Callithrix jacchus: one gene and its partner. The protein of the gene in region 2 interacts with the protein of the main gene of each other region in a biochemical or structural test. Links are inferred from orthologs where the notes say so. Each region holds a gene or a part of one and is shown on either strand. Other genes may lie near its edges.

Region 1 (3,752 bases), on a different chromosome or scaffold from region 2:
GGAGGGTGGTCTTGCTATGTGTCCCAGGCTGGTCTGAAACCCCTAGCCTCAAGCTCGTGCTTTGACCTCCCAAAGTGCTGGTTTTACAGATGTGAGGCACCTCACCTAAGCCCAAAGGCTGCCTCTTAAATACCATTTCCATCCTGCTTCTCCCTGCTGAGAGCCCAGCAGTGGCTCCCTGTTGCCTACCAAGACCAGAATCTACTTGGCAGCACTGAAGACTGAGATATAAAGCAATCAAAAAGAGCTTGAGATCTTAAGAAATGACAGACTTCGTTCGGCCTTGCCCTTCACCTACCAGCGACTCATACCTCAGCGCTGCAGACTTTTACCCGCACACCTCTAGACTCTGTTCCTTTCTAAAGATACGGAAGGAAAGAGGGTACCGAACCTCTCTGGTACCAGCCCAGCTGTCTCCCTCACCCCTCTGTCCCTGCCACACCTGTCCTTTTGTCAAACTGGCAGCAGCCTCCAGGGTCTGGAGGCTTCACCCAGGCCCTGCTTGTCTGCCAGCTCCACAAGGTGCGCCCACGGCTTTCTTGTCACCAGTTGAGGAAAGCAGGCATTTTGCCTCTCTCTCCTTTCCTCCTGCTCCTGCGGCTCAGCCAGGTTTCCCGCCTGGCTCAGGGTCGGAATAGGGGTCAACAGAGGTTGCTTTTCAGTGTTGAGCAAGGCAGGGTGGTATGGGAAGGGATGTCATCAGGTGGCAGGCAAGATGGCTCAGGGAGAGCTACCCTGAGCATAGACAGGTGGGGACCAGGAGTATAATGGATATCACCCCTGCACCTCCCCAGGTCTTCCTGCATGAAGCGACTGTGCGCCTGATGGCAGGAGCCAGTCCCACCCGCACCCACCAGCTGCTGGAACACAGTCTGCGGCGGCGCACCACACAGAGCTCGAAGCACGGTGAGTCCACCGCTCTCCAGCTCGCAGGCTGGGGCTGGCCCTGCCCCCGGGAAGAGAGGAGGGTTGGGGCCAGCCCAGCTCCCACATCTAGCAGCTGTGGCCAGCACACCTCTCTGAGAATGAAAGAAGCCTGAGACCGCTCTTAGTGGGTTGCAGGGGTTGGGGTGGTCATGGGTCATGCTGTGATCAGGTAAGGAGGGTTGGGGTGGGGTCTGAGCACAGGTGCAGGCGTAGAAGCAGAGGCTCCAATCAGACCATGTGGCTCCATCTCAGCCCCAGCCCCACCACAGGCTGGCCGTGGAACACTGGACAAGTTCACTTCTTTTCCGTGGACTGGGTGGGGCAACAGACTCCACCTCCCAGGATGAGTGTCAGTGTTGAGTGAATGAGTCCAGGTAACGCTGAGGGACAGCACCGGCTGCATGATGGACTCTCAGTTCTGACACGTATCTCTTTACCATAGGAGAGGTGGATGCCTGGCCCGGCCAGCGAGAGCGGGCCACTGCCATCCTGCTGGCCTGCCGCCACCTTCCCCTCTCCTTTCTATCCTCCCCGGGCCAGCGGGCAGTGCTGCTGGCCGAGGCTGCCCGCACCCTGGAGAAGGTGGGTGACCGGCGCTCCTGCAATGACTGCCAGCAGATGATTGTCAAGCTGGGTGGTGGCACTGCCATTGCCGCCTCCTGACCACCAGGCTCAGCTCGCCCCTCCACCTCTCTCGGTTCCTCTCTCCCCCCACAGCATCCTCCTGCTGAGAGTGGTAGGGAGGAGCCTTGTCTTCCTAGCTGTCATCTGCCGAGGCTTCTGAGCCACCTCAGGCCAGTGGGCCCCTGGACAGAGCCCCTTAAAGCTGCTGTCACTAGATGCCCATGGTCCAGGGTCTGGTGGGCATGAGAGGAAAGGTGGCGGGGTAGAAACTGGTTCTTAAAAGCAGCAGGGGGAGCTCCCAAGCTGCCAAGCCCCCTGCCTTCAGCCTTCCTGACTTTCTCCTGAACCTCACTCTCTCCTTTTTGCTTCCTCAGTTTTTATCAGGCTTTCTCTGGGAGACAGCAGTCTCTCAGCACCAGGGAGCAGCTGCCCTCAGGCCTGTGCCTGGCATGCCCTCCCCGCTTTTTATACGAATGTTTTCTATCAGCGTGCTTGGGTTTGCCATGATGTGAGGCTGAGTTGCCGTAGCATCTTGATTCTCTCCCTGGGTCTGCGTTCCCTCCCCTGTGCCTGACTGAGCCCACTCATTGTCTTTCCCTTTATTACATAGGACAGCCAGGGGAGGAGGGGACCCCAGCCCTGGGAGGCTGGTGGGAGGCAGGGAGCATGCCTGCGGATGGATGAAATTATGTTGGCATTATTTTTTAATTTTTTAAGAAATAAATGGTATCTTATTTAATTGTCCTGTTCCTTCCCACTCTCCACCTCCTAGGATGTCATCCCAAGCTCAGGGTAGGCCCAGGGGCCTGGGAGAAATGAAGCCACCCATTGGGACTGGGAACCAGGGACCTTCAGCATGGTGTCCAGGTTCCCCCCTCCCCGACCCCAACACCTACCTCCACAGTGCAGACTGGCCCCGGCTTTGCAGTGGTTCACTTCAACCATGGTTCAACTTTACAGTTGGTCTGTCGGGGTATTAAATGAATTTTTGAATTATGATATTTTCATTTATGATGGATTTATCAGGAAGTAACCCTATGTAAGTTGAGGCATATCTGTATATTTTTATCCCTAATTCTTTTTTTTCTTAAGACGGAGTCTCACTCTGTTGCCAGGCTGGAGTGCAGTGGCATGATCCCAGCTCACTGCAACCTCCGCCTCCCGGATTCAAGCGATTCTCCTGCCTCAGCTTCCTGAGTGGCTGGGACTACAGGCGCATGCCACCACGCCCAGCTAGTTTTTGTATTTTTAGTAGAGATGGGGTTTCACCATGTTGGCCAGGATGGTCTTGATCTCTCAACCTTGTGATACACCTGTCACAGTTTCCCAAAGTGCTGGGATTACAGGCATGAGCCACTGTGCCTGGCCTTTTTATCACTAATTCTTGAACTGAAAAAAACCAACGTGGCCCAACCCCTCCCCAGTGGCAAGCCCTTCTTTACAGAGTGGGCAGAAGGTTGCCTTTGGTGGGCACTAGGAATGAGGTCCCCTGCCTTGATGCAGGTCCTAGGAGAAAAAGTCCCACTTTTCTGGACTCCCTGTGCCTCATCCTCAAGCTGGTTGGGGCAGAGGGTGGGCAGGAGCCCTAATACAGACTGGGGGCTGCTCACAGTAGGGCCCCTTGATGCAGGCTGGAATGCATCAGCTTGTGTTGTCCCTAGGGTGTGCTTGGACCCCACCTGCTTTCTCTCCTGCCCCTCCCCCACTTACTGTAATTTATGGACCCTTCCCACCCGAGTGTTGTGTATATGTCCTGTGCCTTTTCTCTCTATTGTTTAGGGGTGGGAGGGGGTGATTTTACACTGAAAATGGGGGTACACCTATGGCTTCCTTGATGTTCAGTCACTGTGTCCCAGACCTAGGTTATTCAATAAACACAGATTGGTACCACCCAGCACAAGGTGTGTGAGGGTCTGTAATGTGACTGCTGTGGTGTCCAGCCAAGGGGCTGCATGACTTGGTGGGCAATGGGCCAGGGGCTGTGGGTGGTGCTTTGGGGGTCAGAGGTCGTGCTATCCAGGTTCCAGCTTGTTCTCTGGATATAATGCAACTGGCTGACCTCTCCCCTGCTGAGTAAGCTGCTCCCTGGTTTCCCTTCTGTGAAGGCAGTGACCTTCTGAGCCAGGAGACAAGTCAGACCCAAGTCCAGGTCCTGTGCTTGTCTCCACTTCCACGTGTGCAGAATGGGGATGCTAAGCTCC
Region 2 (3,652 bases):
AGGCAGCTTACCTTCTGAATCTGGGCCTCAGCTTCCTTACCTGTGAAATGGGAGTGATCATCCCCACAGGGCCTCCTCCCATAGGCACCAGCTATCTTCCGAACTTAAAAGCCAAAACTAGAGGAGAGGGCTCAACCCAAGGTGACTTCCCATCCTCTCTCCCTCCCAACCTTCCAGGCAATGACTATATCGTCCCTCGGCACTGCCCGGAGCTGGCGGAGATGAGCCGGGTGTCCATGCGCATTCTTGACGAGTTGGTGTTGCCCTTCCAGGAGCTGCAGATTGATGACAATGAGTATGCCTACCTCAAAGCCATCATCTTCTTTGACCCAGGTACACTGCACACCTCCTAAGCCATCCCTGACTCTCTCTCCAGAACCCTCTGTCACACTTCTCCTATTGGGTTATGTACACTGAGTTCACAACCTCATTTCCTGTTAATGACAGCCAGGAGGGGCTGTTTTCATTTAACGCATCAGGCAAGGCAAGATTCAAAGGGAGGATATGACCAGGCATGGTGGCTCATGCCTATAATCCAGCACTTTGGGAAGCTGAGGTGGGTGGATCACCTGAGGTCAGGGGCTCAAGACCAGCCTGGCCCTCATCACAGGATGAAGATAAAGCATTCCTACCCTCTCCTGTGGCTCTCAGCTCTCCTCTCCCCATACTGTTGACTGACTTTTGCATCTGCATTTATACAGAATGCCTTTGTCATCAGTCTTTGTGCAAAACCTGCTTTTGTTTCCTACTGTCAAAGGTGCCTGAACCCCGGAGGTTTGCTTGCCTTCCCTGCTTACATGTTAGAGGGGACCTACTGTGTGCCAGGCACTGCCCTTCACACCGCAGATAGATTACCTCTAGTAATAATAGTGATGAAAAGGCCAGGTGTGGTGGCTCACACCTGTAATCCCAGCACTTTGGGAGACTGAAATGGGCAGGTCACCTGAGGTCAGGAGTTCAAGACCAGTCTGGTAAATGTGGTGAAACCCTGTCTCTACTAAAAATACAAAAATTAGCCAGGTGTGGTAGTGGTTGCCTATAATCCCAGCTACTCCAGAGGCTGAGGCAGGAGGATCGCTTGAACCTGGGAGGCGAAGGTCGCAGTGAGCCAAGATCACACCACTGCACTCCAGCCTGGGCCACAAGAGTGAAACTCTGTCTCAAAAAGAAAAAAAGAAAAAAAAAAAAATATATATATATATATAGTGATAAAGAGGAAGATGAGCAGCATGTATTGAATGCTCACTAAAGAGCTGTTTTTAAACACTTTCTGTGGATTATCAACATGATACCTGTGAAGTAGAAATTTTTATCTCCACTTTATAGATAAGGAAACTGAGGCATGGTTAACTTGCCCAAGGTCACATAACCAGAAAATGGCAGAGCTTGAACTTCAGACCACCTATCGATCCCAGTTTCTCTCTCTCTCAAGCCCACGTTCTTACCCACCACATGCTATCCCACACTTCCCAGAAGGTGAGATTTCTAGTTCTGGTTCCTTCCAGAGCCTGGCCCAGCCTGTATCCTCTATAGTGCTCAGCAGGAGGCTGGACTGGCAGAATTGCTCTGCAAAATGGGCATGATCACTGATGCTGAGTCAGAGGCAGCTGCCTCCAGCAATTTGAAGAGGTGGGAACCTAGTTCAAGGCCTGGCATGCAGGAGATGCTCAATAAATGTTTGTGGACTGAATGAAATAATGAACAAACATGATTCAGTGGAGAGAGCCCACTAAAAATGTGGGTGAATGTTCCTTCTGCCACTTCCTTTGTCCATGAAAGAGGAAATAAATGCATTGCCTCAATGAAGCTTGAGATTAAATATTGGATGACCTCTTAAGTTCCCTTCTAGGCTAAGGATCTAGAATTTAGTCACTGATTTTTTTTTTATTCATTCTTCCACCCATCTAAATATATATATTTATATGCATAAATATATATTACATTTATATAAATATATATATATATATATACACACACGCATACACATATTGTCTGTCACCCAAGCTGGAGTGCAGTGGCACCATCTCAGCTCACTGCAACCTCCACCTCCCAGTTTCAAGCAATTCTCCCACCTCAGCCTCCAGAGTAGCTGGGATTACAGGCATGTGTCACCACACCAGGCTAATTTGTGTATTATTAGTAGAGATGGGGTTTCACCATGTTGGCCAGGCTGGTCTCAAATTCCTGGCCTCAAGTAATCTTCCTGCCTTGGCCTCCCAAAGTGCTGGGATTGCAGGCATGAGCCACTGAGTCTGGCCCTATTCGATAAATATTGATTATGCATGGTACTAGGTGGTGGGTTTAAAATGGCAAAGGCGTGGTGGCTCACACCTGTAATCCCAGCACTTTGGGAGGCTAAGGCAGGCAGATTACTTGAGGTCAGGAGTCTGAGGCCAGCATGGCCAACGTGGTGAAACCCCATCTCTACTAAAATACAAAAATTATCTGGGCGTGGTGGCATGTGCCTATAATCCCATCTGCTCAGGAGGCTAAGGCAAGAGAACCACTTGAGCCCAAGCGGGGGTTGCAGTGAGCTGAGATCGCACCACTGTACTCAAGCCTGGGTGACAGAGGGACAAGGGACACTCAGTCTAAAATAAAATAAAACAAAACATAAAATGGCAAATAAGCCATATGCCTGCCCACAGTTGGACGGCACAACAATTACATCCTGTGTGGTCAGCAGTGATGGAGGAGCCACAGAGATTTGGAAACAGGAGGAACACAGGATACAGACATAGGAGGGTAGAATGGAGACTTCCTGGAGGAGGTGAAAACTAACTTGAGTCCCTAAGATGATAGGAAACAGGGATCAGGGAAGGGGAGCCTGTTCTAACACAGTAGAAGCAGCAAATGCTTGAGGTCGGAATAAGGGAACCTCAACTGTGGCCAATAACCCCAAGTTCCCGTCATGGCTCTGCAAACAGCCACTGGCTGTGTGACACAGGACAAGTCCTTTCCTTGCACCGTGACTCAGTTCCCCATGTGTAAGATGAGGAGCTTGCTAGGTACTTGCTGGACACATTCCTCAAGTCTCACCCTCCATCTCCTACTCCCCACCCTTCTGGCTTAGTCCCTTAGGAAATGTGGCAGGAATCTTTTTCTGTCTGTGTCTAGGAAATCACAGTTCATGCTGGCGTACCCTGATTGTTGAGGTCCCTGAATCCTTGTGCCCACCCTGCTGAAGACTCATTGTGTGACACAAGTCAGGGGACATCTGGGTCTTGACTCCCTGCTGCCCTCCCTTGCCCACCCCCTTCCATTGTAGATGCCAAGGGGCTGAGTGATCCAGGGAAGATCAAGAGGCTTCGTTCCCAGGTGCAGGTGAGCTTGGAGGACTACATCAACGACCGCCAGTATGACTCGCGCGGCCGCTTTGGCGAGCTGCTGCTGCTGCTGCCCACCCTGCAGAGCATCACCTGGCAGATGATCGAGCAGATCCAGTTCATCAAGCTCTTCGGCATGGCCAAGATTGACAACCTGCTGCAGGAGATGCTATTGGGAGGTCCGTGCCAGGCCCAGGAGGGGCGGGGTTGCAGCGGGGACTCTCCAGGATACGGGCCTCACACAGACCTGAGCTCACCCCTCAGCTCCTTGGCTTCCCCACTGTGTGGCTTTTGGAGAGTTGCTTAACCTGTCTGTGCCTCAGTTT

What was found.
Region 1: the proteins of HNF4A (region 2) and SREBF2 form a complex in vitro, tested with the Homo sapiens proteins (2 studies listed by BioGRID and IntAct). The link is inferred for Callithrix jacchus from reciprocal best matches to the Homo sapiens genes HNF4A and SREBF2.

What each region holds. Positions count from the first base shown.
Region 1 is NC_133502.1:189,861,936-189,865,687, reverse strand, and holds the end of SREBF2 (sterol regulatory element-binding protein 2), read left to right. Parts: intron 1-794; coding exon 795-906; intron 907-1,369; coding exon 1,370-1,590; 3' UTR 1,591-3,448; downstream 3,449-3,752.
Region 2 is NC_133506.1:39,770,638-39,774,289, forward strand, and holds part of HNF4A (hepatocyte nuclear factor 4-alpha), read left to right. Parts: intron 1-177; coding exon 178-333; intron 334-3,268; coding exon 3,269-3,505; intron 3,506-3,652. UniProt on the Homo sapiens protein: Transcriptional regulator which controls the expression of hepatic genes during the transition of endodermal cells to hepatic progenitor cells, facilitating the recruitment of RNA pol II to the promoters of target genes. Activates the transcription of CYP2C38.